3 linked regions of the Nothobranchius furzeri genome follow. The protein of the gene in region 1 interacts with the protein of each later gene in a pairwise test. Links are inferred from orthologs where the notes say so. Each region holds a gene or a part of one and is shown in the gene's direction. Other genes may lie near its edges.

The links.
Region 2: the proteins of klhl2 (region 1) and tma16 interact in binary tests that used the Homo sapiens proteins (3 or more experiments, as listed by UniProt). The two-hybrid records come from large-scale screens. The link is inferred for Nothobranchius furzeri from reciprocal best matches to the Homo sapiens genes KLHL2 and TMA16.
Region 3: the proteins of klhl2 (region 1) and txndc12 interact in binary tests that used the Homo sapiens proteins (3 or more experiments, as listed by UniProt). The two-hybrid records come from large-scale screens. The link is inferred for Nothobranchius furzeri from reciprocal best matches to the Homo sapiens genes KLHL2 and TXNDC12.

Annotation. Positions count from the first base shown.
Region 1 is NC_091744.1:20,905,476-20,909,125, reverse strand, and holds part of klhl2 (kelch-like protein 2), read left to right. Parts: intron 1-296; coding exon 297-413; intron 414-2,815; coding exon 2,816-2,965; intron 2,966-3,065; coding exon 3,066-3,183; intron 3,184-3,650. UniProt on the Homo sapiens protein: Substrate-specific adapter of a BCR (BTB-CUL3-RBX1) E3 ubiquitin ligase complex that mediates the ubiquitination of target proteins, such as NPTXR, WNK1, WNK3 and WNK4, leading most often to their proteasomal degradation.
Region 2 is NC_091747.1:80,901,858-80,906,005, forward strand, and holds tma16 (translation machinery-associated protein 16), read left to right. Parts: upstream 1-1,268; 5' UTR 1,269-1,344; coding exon 1,345-1,347; intron 1,348-1,451; coding exon 1,452-1,555; intron 1,556-1,740; coding exon 1,741-1,778; intron 1,779-1,862; coding exon 1,863-1,947; intron 1,948-2,521; coding exon 2,522-2,670; intron 2,671-2,747; coding exon 2,748-2,790; intron 2,791-2,973; coding exon 2,974-3,136; 3' UTR 3,137-3,539; downstream 3,540-4,148. UniProt on the Homo sapiens protein: Involved in the biogenesis of the 60S ribosomal subunit in the nucleus.
Region 3 is NC_091751.1:41,996,841-42,001,049, reverse strand, and holds the start of txndc12 (thioredoxin domain-containing protein 12), read left to right. Parts: upstream 1-1,377; 5' UTR 1,378-1,471; coding exon 1,472-1,571; intron 1,572-2,487; coding exon 2,488-2,548; intron 2,549-2,733; coding exon 2,734-2,786; intron 2,787-3,148; coding exon 3,149-3,222; intron 3,223-3,314; coding exon 3,315-3,384; intron 3,385-3,669; coding exon 3,670-3,753; intron 3,754-4,209. Other genes in the region: transcription factor BTF3 homolog 4, read right to left, coding at 344-397. UniProt on the Homo sapiens protein: Protein-disulfide reductase of the endoplasmic reticulum that promotes disulfide bond formation in client proteins through its thiol-disulfide oxidase activity.

The DNA of each region.
Region 1 (3,650 bases):
TTATTTTACAAGCACAGAGAGCTGCATCAGATGGATGGAAGAGCCGAGGGTTGCCGATCCCTGGTATACTCTATAAAATGACATGTTGAGGACACAAACTCAATACATCTCTTTTATTGTGAGGTAATAATTTCTCAGAGTTTTGCGGTTGCGGGCGGGAGTGGACATGCACACTGCGGGTGCGGGCGGTAATGGTCAGAAATTCAGCGGGAGCGGGATGGAGAAAACAGTCCCGTGCAGGGCTCTACACCCCAGTCCAATTACTTTTGCGTAACACCGGTGTGATTTCTCCACAGGTCTTTGAAGCAGTTATAGCGTGGGTGAACCATGACAAAGATGTCCGCCAGGAACACTTGGCTCACCTGATGGAGCATGTTCGTCTACCGCTGCTCTCCAGAGAATACCTGGTGCAGGTGCGCTGGTCTTGGCCTGCGTGTTGTTTGTTTTACCAGTGTCTGAGAAAACATCGATTCTCTGTCTCCGTTGTTTTGGCTTCAAATTAGAATTCACAGTTGCTTCCTATCACAGAAGACAACAGGTGATCAAATCAAAAAGGGTGAGCTTGTTTCTGATTTTACTGGTAACACAACAGGTGTTCTGGTGACTGCAGGGTCATATTTAAATGTGCCTCACAGCGGGGCTTTAGTCAGGGCAAAGCAAGACTGAGACAAGTCTAAAACACTGGGGTGATGAAGATCACCATGGAATGATACTGATGAGTGAGCAGAGTCACTGACGTTCACACCTTCAGTAGGGATGTCCGATATTATCCACCCATTATCACTTTCAGCCGATATCGGGATTAAAATGAAATATTGGTAGTTATCTGTATCCATTTTTACTTTTTTAAAGTGACAGCGTGTATTTTCCCTGGCGATAGGGGGCAGTAGATACCTAAATCCTTGCAAGCAAGCATTATTTTTGTGTAAGACCTTACCAACAGATGGCCATTAGGGTAAAAAATCCTTGGGAGTACAACCTCCAGCAAAATAACAAGAACATCAGATTCCCTTTCATTACTTGCAACGAGTGAAGAGGTAAACGTGTAAGAGAAAAATCTTTATTAATGCTGAAAGTTTTGCAACCATTTGTTACAAATCAGTAAATGCACTTTGTTGTCACGGGACTGAAACTTGGCATCCAATATGGCGTTGCCCAGAGACTTAGGCCCAATTCCAATACTCGCACTTGCACCCTTGCGTCCTACATTCCTGGCCAGGGGTGCGAGTGCGTAGAGTGTCCCGATTCTCAAGCGTGGAAGTTGGCCACGCCCCCATTACACCCTTAATCTGCACTTCACCCAAGTCCGCAGTGATGTGGACCTTGGGCAACGGTATTACCCACAAGTCATTGCTGCGGGAGAAATGGCTCAAGTTCCTTTTCTGAAAATATGTATTTTCTAATCAAATTTGTTCATTTTAGGAAGATTATTTGATGCTCTGAATGTTTTAGACAAAGCAGCAATGAAGTAAAATTTATTTCAAAGAATTGCCTTGTTGTTTGAAAGTTGTTAATAAAGGTTTTTGAAAAAAGTTTGACAGCGACCAGCATCCCGGCGTGCGGTGCGATCGATGACGCAATGCTCCCTGTCTCAATTCGGCAATTATTTGCACACTTGTGTACTATGCATTCAAACCCTACTGCGCTCTTTCTCCAAGTGCACTTTGTTGAAGACCACAGGGTGCAGTGCGAGTATTGAGATTGGGCCTTAGACCCGCTCCCATGTATTTTAGAACAGATTTTTATGGTTATGTGTTGTGAAACCACCAATATTTTTCAACAACTGGACTTCATTGAATTTATTTACAACAGTTTAATTGATTATTTCCAGAAATGAATGGTAAAAACTACACATTGTCACTTTAAAGAGCAAGTCACCCCCAAATAAACTTTTTTTTGCTGATAAACTAAATAAACGAGTGTCTAATCGTGCTGCAGACACGTGTCGTCAATAATTTGGCACTTCAGTGCATCTTAGTTAAAATTTAAATATTCTGCCTAAAACTGTCAGTGTTGTGCCGTTGTCAGGTAAAAACTCTGCACTGTATTCTAATTTAAATCTGCCACCACTATTGGCTAAGAGGTATGCTATGATGTAAACTGGTACGTTATGATGTCACAATGCCTGTGTGTTTGTGTATTTGTTAGCAGCTCCGCCCTCTCGGTCTGCCAGGCAACAGCATTTGTTGCATTTTTCAAACATGAAGTGGGAGTGGAGTTAGAATCTGGTACGGGTTGACTTGCTCTTTAATGACGCAACCTTGACATACCATGCTCATATTATACAACAAACTCTTCAGCCACTTCTCTCACTCAAAATAAATAAAAAAACGACAGATCTGAGGTTTAGTTAATTAGATATTTTTGTTTGTGTGGCACAGTTAGCCTAACTTAAATGGAAGTAGTCATCACATTTTGTACATGCAAGTGATGGGACAGTTAACGCAATGGTTCCCAACACTTGCCTGGGTTCAAGACAAGCCAAGGACCCCCAACACCAACTCCTACCCACATATGCACATTAAAAGGGATTATTACAAACTTTATGCAGACATTCAGAGTTATAAATCTTACAGAGTTTGATTTATACTATTGGGTGTGTAAGGTGGGATTTTCAAAATGCTATTTTTTTACAAATGTAGTTTTGGTAACCTCAGCACAGACAAAATTGTGGGTGACCCCTTTAGGGGGTCACAGACCCCCAGGAACCATTGAGTTAGCGCATAATATTGTTGTTTTTCTCTTTAAAGAGCAAGTAACTATCAGTTGTCCTTGAAACAACCCAATTTGATTGGTTCCTCTTCTGCCGTGGCAGCGTGTGGAGGAGGAATCCCTCATCAAAAACAGCAGTGCTTGTAAAGACTACCTGATTGAGGCCATGAAGTACCACCTACTACCAGCAGACCAGAGAGCTCTGATGAAGACGGCTCGCACCAGAATGAGAACCCCTGCCTCCAGTCCCAAGGTAGAAACACGGCCACCACTCAGAGGCTACGGGTCAGGGGGTCGAGCTCTTTCACACCCCCAACAGCTTGCCTCGTAACTCTTGTTTCTCTGGTGTTTAGGTGATGGTGGTGGTTGGAGGTCAGGCTCCTAAGGCCATCAGGAGTGTGGAATGTTATGACTTTGAGGAGCAGCGATGGTACCAAGTGGCTGAACTTCCCACCAGGAGGTGCAGAGCAGGTAGGAATAATAAAAACCTCTATTGGCTTTTGTCCTCCAGACCCACAGCAACCCTATCCAAATGTAGAGCTCGAAAAGTGACTAACACACTTTCAAACGGAGAATACCCTGAGCGTGATGTACAGATTTAGTCTTCTGGTGCTCCATGAGACAGACTGTTGTTATTTTACCACAGGAAACGATCCATGCTGGTAACCAGTAATGAAAGCAGGCTGTGTTTGTAAGCACAACGAGGAATGGGTGGCGCTTCATTATCTCCTGTGATGAATGAATTAGAACTGAGATCTGTGCTGCATGTTTTTGAACGCGTTGGAGACGAGGACGAGCAAGCACAGATCTATAAATGCAATGATGCACAAAATGATTTTTTAATGCATGCAACTTCACGGTGACAGGCGCACAGGAGTTAAGTGCTCGCCCAGTAATCGGAAGGTTGCAGGTTCGAGCCCCGCTCAGTTTGTCGCTGT
Region 2 (4,148 bases), on another chromosome or scaffold:
TCCAGTACTCTTAAATTTTACTGGATCATCTGTAGACAATGAGAGACAAAGAAATGTTTTTTGTTTTTATGGTATGGAGGCAGTCGGCGGTGCTCTGTCCTGGAGGATGTACCACCAACCCATGACTACTGTTAGCAAGTAAGTAATTTATGTATGACTCTCTTACAAAAACAGGGACTTTATTTGCTGAAGAGTCACAATTGTTATACTAGTGAATCCATAAACCATCTCCTCGTTGCCTTTTTCTGATTATGTCTTAGAGATGCGACAGCCGTGAGCTGAGCCAGCACAGGAAACCCTGTTAAGGGTTGTTTTACTTATATTTACTTGAACCATCTATTGTATTGCAGAGGAACGTTTTAAAGGTGTGTGTGTGTGTGTGTGTGGGGGGGGGGGGGGGGGGTTGGTTCTGCTTTTTGCCTTTGAAACTTCCCTTTTTGTTAACTCAGGTGAGCTTGTGCCCCAGGACATCCCAGGATGCACTTCTGTGCTTCAGTCCTATCCTTTGACCATCCACCTCCCTGTTAGTTTTTCCCTACTGTTGTCTGGCTCAGATTGATAACTGATGCAGTATGTTGGCTCTTTTATTTGTACAACTTTTAATAAACAGCAACAAACTTACATTGAAATATCAGTTTTAAGTGACTTTTGTGACAAATTGGCCCCAAATGAATAAAGTTGTACTGAGTTTAAATGCTGTCAGTGACTGATTTTCAGCCATTAACAGTGTGAAATAACTAGTTCTGCACATGTTCCTTTTAGGAACAAAAACATTTTTTTCTGCTTATTGTTTTACATAATCTATAAAAGAGCTGACTGAAGTCTGAGGTGCAGGAGGAGTGTGACTGCTCTCCTCACACTGACAAGTTGACTGGATTGATGTTAATATTTGTCGAAATTAATATGTAAAAATACTTTTGTGTGTGCACCAAGCACACTCAAAACAGATATATTTATTTGCTCAAATGCAAGTGATTTGCTCTATTTACACCACAAAAACAACACTGTTTTTCATTTTAAAATTTCTTTTGATCAAAAAAATTGTCTATCAGTTTGCAACTTTGTTGTACTTACAGCAAAATATTTTTTATTTTAATCCTATTTCATTTATATGAAACAAATTTTAGAGTCAAAACATTTAAGAAATTGCAAAAGTCTAGTAACAATAAAAAAACTTTTTTTCTTCATTTTTTAAAAATCTGATTGTGACGAAAGTTTTGCAGCCGTCCAATTACAAGTGTACATCCGGAACGTTTCCTTAACGACACAATTCAACGACGGACCACTTCCGTTTCCGGTGCTCAGTGTCAACAGAGCTTCAACACACGTTTTCACTCTGAAACGATGGTGAGGCTGTTTCCATGAGCTCGTTTGTGTTTATAACAACAGAAATACGAGTTAAAGGTTAATAGAATCAAAATAAAATATTTAAACTAGTTTTTATTTTGCAGCCGAAGACCCAGAAGGGGAAAGCGGCGGAGAAAGTTGTTCATCCGTACAGCAGGAAAGCAGCTTACCTTGCCCGGGAAGAAAACCGACTGAAAAGGAAAGAAAGGTTTGTTAATTAATTAAATAAAACGCATCAAAAGCAGAAACTCTGTAGTATTTGGATTGTGATTTATTACAAGATATGACGTCTAGGGCAACAAATTATTTCTTTGCTCAGTTTTATTTCGAAGTGGCTTGAAAAAGTAAAATTCCCGGATGGAAATGTTCTAAATGTCTTTTGTGATGCTGCAGGCAGAAAAACGAGAAAGCAGCGCGTCTGAACAACATTGGTAAACAAGTGTTTGAGTCGAACTAATACAAACATTTAAAGATGATTAAACTCATTCATCTTGTATCTGGGTGTTAAATTACAGGTGAGAAGCTGCTGTGGTTTCAGAGTCAGCTGGATTCAGCGAAGACAAATTATTCCCGGAAAGATGCCTGTGAGATTATTGAAAGGTCCCAAACATTTTCTTTTCTACTTGTTTTGCTCTTATTGGTAATATTTGTAACTTGATTTGCTCAAAGACTCCATGCCAACACTTTTCAAAGGGCTGAGCCTTTAATTTTATTTGATCAGGGTGTCTGTGATCAAAACACTGAAAATTCAGTGACAATTAAGGCCGTAAAACTCCAGAAATGCATCATCGTCTTCCTCCAGAGGTAATCGCACAAAGAAAACTACTGTGTAAAATGATGTGGTTTAACACAACCTCTTTGTCAAAAGACTGAATGGCTATTAAAGTAATCACAAGTTAATGCAAAATAGAATAAAAAAAATTACAGATGGCCTCAAATGTTTCATGAGAAAGATGCAGAATTGAATGTAAACATTTAGATGTGCAAAAATAACCTAGGTGGTACATTACTGACCTCAGTATGATGCATATTGACATTAAAACACATTTAAAAAGTTCACCGTCGTGACCCAAATGTTGTCTGTGTGGTTGGTAGTAATCTCATCAGGCTGTTTGTCTTCATAAACGAGTTGTACTGATTTCAATGAGATTATAAGATCTTGGTGTTTGTTCAGGTACCTTCACAGATTTGATTCAGAACTGGAACAGATCAAGTTGATGAATGGGATCAAAGGTCGGCAGGGTCGTCTTCATGGCGCCAGAGAGGCTGTCATCAAACAGACCGTGGAGCGAGAACAGGCGCAGTACGAAGGCGTCGGATTTGGTTTGTTTCAATGCAAAAATGCTTCACTCATGCGTTCACTTTGGTCTGAAAAAACTCCTTTATCCCCCCCCCCCCAGAGATTCCAGACATCATCAATACAAAGCATCTGAAAACATTCAGGTGAGTGTTTGCGCTATCTGCATTTAACGAACACCTGCTCACCCAGGAAATGCATCAGGTACATTTTCCATTCAAATCACTCATGGAGTGAAATAGTGAGATCATCTTCAGTGAAGGCATAAATATGCAGTAATTCTGTAATGTTAATCATGGAATATTTAAACTTTATTTTTCTTTTGGCAGAGAATGGACCGGAGATCTGAAGAAACTTCCAAACATAAAACTACGAAAAGTATCAAAGAAAAATGTGGACACAAGAAATGAAATGGAGGAAAAAGAAGATCCAGAGGAAGTTCCTGAGGAAGATGATTTGGATGATGAGCTGATGGATGAGACTGATCACTAACACTTGTTTGTGCTTTAATATGGAAGCCTCTGTGGAAGTGGGGAGGCTTGTAAAGGGAAGAAATCGTGTGAGAAGATGCTTCTGTTCCACAGATGACCTGCGGGTGGTGCTAAACCCCAAGTCCGACACCTAAATTGTTCCCATACCAAGTTTTTCCATTTGACAAGTCAGTAACTTCAGACTGGACTTTTTGAGGTTCTACATTCATTTATTGCACAAACAATTCCATTATGCATGTAACCTGCATCGTGTCTATTCAGAGCTGAAAAAACAAACATGCTGCAAAACAGTCCTGCACAAGATTGGACAAAGAAAAACATTCGTAAAGTTCTGGTTGTCATAATGTATCAATTACTGATAATCTCCAGATGAAAGCTACATAAAACTACAATTTATCAACAAACAGGCTGTCTGGTGTTCTATTTACCAACTAAACCTTTTTCATCATTACCTCTTCTAATATTACATATTTAGATTCTAGACTGGGATGAAGGATTTGGTTTGTGAGGTTTTTAATGTGAGTCTTTGGTGTCTGGTTGTCCAGAAGGAGTGTTAAGTCCTCGGTATGCTTCAGTCAGGTTGCTCGTGTGATCTCTGTAGCCTCACAAATAAACATCAGGCTATACTTTCTGTGTGATAACAACCTGTCTTACCCCACATCAGATAAATATGTTCAAGCTTGTAAAAAATAAAGTGAAAATTGGAAGAATTAAGGGAGAAGACAAACACAAAGATGGATGTGATGACTTGCAAACAAACTGAAACATGATTAGATTTATAGTTAAAGTGCATCTCCGTGAGCCATTTGAATCAAATGCAGTTGGATTTAAAGAGTCCTGTTGTGTGAGGTTCATTTGAAGCATACTGAGACCTTAAACCCAAAGCATCTTCAGGGTTTTCACAATTTTAATTAGTATCAGTGCAAGTTTAGAAAGTGCTTACAGATGAAATGGCATCAATACGCCATTTAGTCACAGCTTTAGTTTGCTGCTGGTTAATTTTCTGTCCCCTT
Region 3 (4,209 bases), on another chromosome or scaffold:
AGGGAAGGACTATATTTTTAATTGATAGTATTTTTTTTATTGTAGAAAATGTTATGTGGCTGCTGGAGCCGGAAGAACTTTTCCCAACAAAATTAAAAATAATGCCATCTAGTGTGTGGCTGAAGACCTGACGGTTAATGCCACAAAGCCACAAAGGTCACAGATGCAGGGGCCAGAGCTTCACCTAACAAAGAGAATGCTGAAGTCAGTAGAAAAGATTTGGCCGACTCCAAATACCTTTAAACTTCTTAAAATAAAATGTCCGACTAATTTTAATCAAGTACTACTAAACATTTGTCATCACATCTGGAACTACAACAAAAAGTCAAGCTTTAAATTGTACCTTTCCTCCTATCCGGACCTGAGCTTGAAGTTTGGCCAGCTTCTCTTGATTCATAATGTTCTGTTGGTTTAATAAAACAAATAAAATAAAAATTAAATCCTCGTTAAAAACCCAAATATACAAGTTTACACCGCCCAACCAGCTAGCCGTTCAGACACAAGAATGCTAGCTAAGCAGTGTGTTGGGCAAGAGCCCTTTCTTCACACCTTAGCAGCAGGTTAGCAGAATTTAGACAAGCCAGTTAGCATTTTTACTCACATGAACCCCATCAAATCAAAGAAATTAATTTAAACAAAGCAAAATAAAGAAATTAATTTAATTAATTAATGAGTTATTTTAAACTTACGTTGGTGCTTAACTGAAGCTAGCTAGTTGAGAAATATCGAGGTAGACTGAGCTAACGCTAACGGTAAAATAATGCCGTGAAATAACTTTGACTATCTATTTAAAGCCTGAGCCACACCAAAAGATACGGCTTTCACAACATCAAATAAAATATTTAGCGCTAATTTAAACGGTATATTTACCTCTGATTGTGAATTAACAGCCCGTTGAACTGTGTTTGCTAGGAACGGAGCAAGACGGATTAGACACCAGTCAAATTAGTAGTCTAACATACAACTTCCGGTGATTATTTTGCCAAATAAATCTCATCCACGTGCAGAAATTGTAATTACTTTACACAAATTTGGGGAAAAATGCTATTTTACTAACGAAATAAATTTAATATATACATAGCAAAGATTTAATAACAAAAACTTAATTACTTACAACTTTCTGCTTTCCTTTGGTTAACTTATTTTTTGCAATTTTCGTCGTCATTTCCGGTTTTATACCAACATTGTTTGTCTAGCTTGACATAACACTGCATTGAAGAGCACGCGGTTGTGTAGATGTAATGTCACGTGAACGCGTCTCTAAATGGGAAAAAAAAAAGCTGGTGGCCAATAGCAAGCGAGACACACGCGCGCGCTACCATGGCTAGCATGCGCGCTGTTAAGATTTTTATTCCGAGACAAAACCTTTATTGTGAAATGTTGCGGTTGCACATCCGGGTCACTGACTATTGAGCTTTCCATTACTACCATTGCCTGCTAGCCGCAGTTGTGGGAAAGAAAGGCAATAAACATGCAACTGTCTGTAGTAAATGTCGCTGCTTTCTCCTTTTTCCAGGTTTTATTGTCTTTTTCGTGTTTTGATGTGGTTGCGGAAGCCGCCAGTGGGAGAGGTGAGTTCATATATAGGAGAAAATAAGTTTTTTAAGCAGGCTGGAGCAGCTTCATTGAAAGTGTGGTAGAAATGAGAGCTGCTGTTCTTTGTCAGCATCCCGGATCACATTGTGTGCGTCCTTGAAGACTAATAAACAGGCGTGTTGTGTCTAGTGTCACTAACTTGTTTCACTTCCAGACACTCATGCTTTATTTCTTGAAAATGTATTTTATGCATTTTAATAAATCTTACACGAAAAAGTTAATTCTACAAGACTACCCCCTGAGCCTGAGATCAGTGGACTCAGTGGTCTCCTTTAAAAAGCAGCTTTCAAACTCACCTGTTCAAGCTGGCTTTTGTATAACTTCTTCTTCACCACTCTCTTTATTCTGCTCTCCCTACCTATTTCACCTTCCTCGTCCACTGATTCCCCTCTTTCCTGTTCACTTTCTTTCTTTCTTTACATTTTTTAATCACAATTGTCTATTTTTTGCTCATTTTAAATATATTTTTAAACATTTTCTAAATTATTTTTTATATTTTTACATTTTTTGTTTTTGTGAAGCGCCTCGTGATTTTTATCTTGAGAGGCGCTATAGAAATGATACTTCTTCTTCTACAAACACCTCATTTGACTTAAAGCAAAAATAAAACAATACTTTAGGTCTGTTAAACCTGTATTGTTTAATTCCGATTCAATTTGATTAAATTAATAATTATCTCCACCAAAACAGAAAGTAACCATTAAGTTTCTCGTTCAATTCTTAAAATAATTGATTTTATTTTACTTAAAAGTTTAGCCTTAACATAACATACCAGTTATATTAGTTATTTGTCCCAGTTCTTTGTATTGATTCTGTATTTAGGCCAGACCCACCCTTGTGTGGAAATTTAACTCCAGTTACACAATGCTGTTGTGCTCATGAACCCTGCAGGATTTGGGGACAATATCCACTGGAGGACGCTGGAAGATGGGAAGAAGGAAGCTGAAGCCAGGTAGCTTCCTGTTTGAAGCCTCTTGTGTAAATATTATCTGGAGGAACAAGAAACATTTTCATTTGGGTCCCAACTCCCTTCCTTTTAAAAATCTTGCATTTCCGGTTTATATAAAGAAAGTCTACGTTGTATATTTACTGTTCTGACTGACTTTGATGCATGTGTCCATGTTGGTGAATTGACAGCGGGCTGCCGATCATGCTCATCATCCACAAGAGCTGGTGTGGAGCCTGCAAAGGTATTTACTTACTGTTTCTTTTTCTGGGAATGCCAGACAAAACTCTGGTGTCCACTGGCACTCATAAATAATACAAGCAACAGTGAAGTTGGTCCGACTTGTGAGGCGTTTGATCTTGGAGTTACTTCCATCTGGTTTTAGTTTTTTTTTTTGCCAATCCCAAAACACAGAAGTACTTCCAGGAAGTTGTCATTTAGCTCAGATTTTCCTCAAAAACAAGGAAGGCAATGGCCCATACCGGCTTTCGCTCTGTGAAAGGCTTCTTTTCAGAATGTTCAAAGTTTTTACTCTAAAACTATCAAGTAGAGATAAGAAGAGTCACATTTTTAAATAACTTTCTTTTCTTATTTGTTACAAATCAGCCCTGAAGCCCAAATTTGCTGAATCCAAGGAAATCTCTGAACTGGCACACAACTTTGTAATGGTGAATGTGGAGGTGAGAAACAGCAATTGGTTTAATTTTGTTTTCATTTTCCTTAAAGCAGCAGTCATGCATCAGGTAGTTAAAGTTGTAACTGTTTATGACAGGATGAAGAGGAGCCCAAGGATGAAGCCTTCAGCCCAGACGGTGGATACATTCCTCGGATTCTTTTCCTCGGTATGAACTCATTTGCATAAAACCCGATTGAGATCTTTACGATAAAAAAGCAGTGGCTCTTCAAGAAGCGACATACTATAGCAGAGCCTGAGCAGCTCTTGGAGCGGGATCACACCGGGGCCTTTAAACATGTCCTGACAGGAATCCCATCGGTGGGACAGCTCCCTGGGAATTTGCTGCTGGTCCCTTTTGCCCTGCTGATCACATTTAAAAGCCTGCATACACTCAAGGAGCATCAATAAACGTGCACCATACTACTAAAAAACCTGTTTGTTCCACTTACAGATCCGAGAGGCAAAGTCCATCCAGAAATCAGCAACAAAAATGGGAATCCCAACTACAAGTACTTCTACAGCACAGCAGAGCAGGGTAGGGGGTTACGTTCTGTGCAAATGTCTCAAACTATTTCCACTTTTTCTTAAGGAAGAGAAACTAAAATCTTTCAATTTCATTCTTTTTATATGGACACTGGCAATTTTTAGGATGATCCCAGCAAGGATGGTGTCATGAAAACACTGTAGGAAAACCAAAAGATGATTTAGTGTTCTAAAGTAAGAAAAAATAGAAATCCAGCAAGTTTACAGTTGGTATCTGTTTGGAAATCACCTTATTGATGTTGTAACGCGAGAAATTAAAACAAATGGTGTCTTTGTATGGTGTTGTCAGTAGCAAGGAGCCTAAAGATTCTATTTAAAACTGTTGATTATTTGAATGGGACTGTTCCTATTAATGAACGTAATTACCCCAGATTTAGCAAAAATGCCTATTTCCATCCGTCGTCCCATAAAACAAATACGCAAAAGTAGCAACAGTATTAATACACCA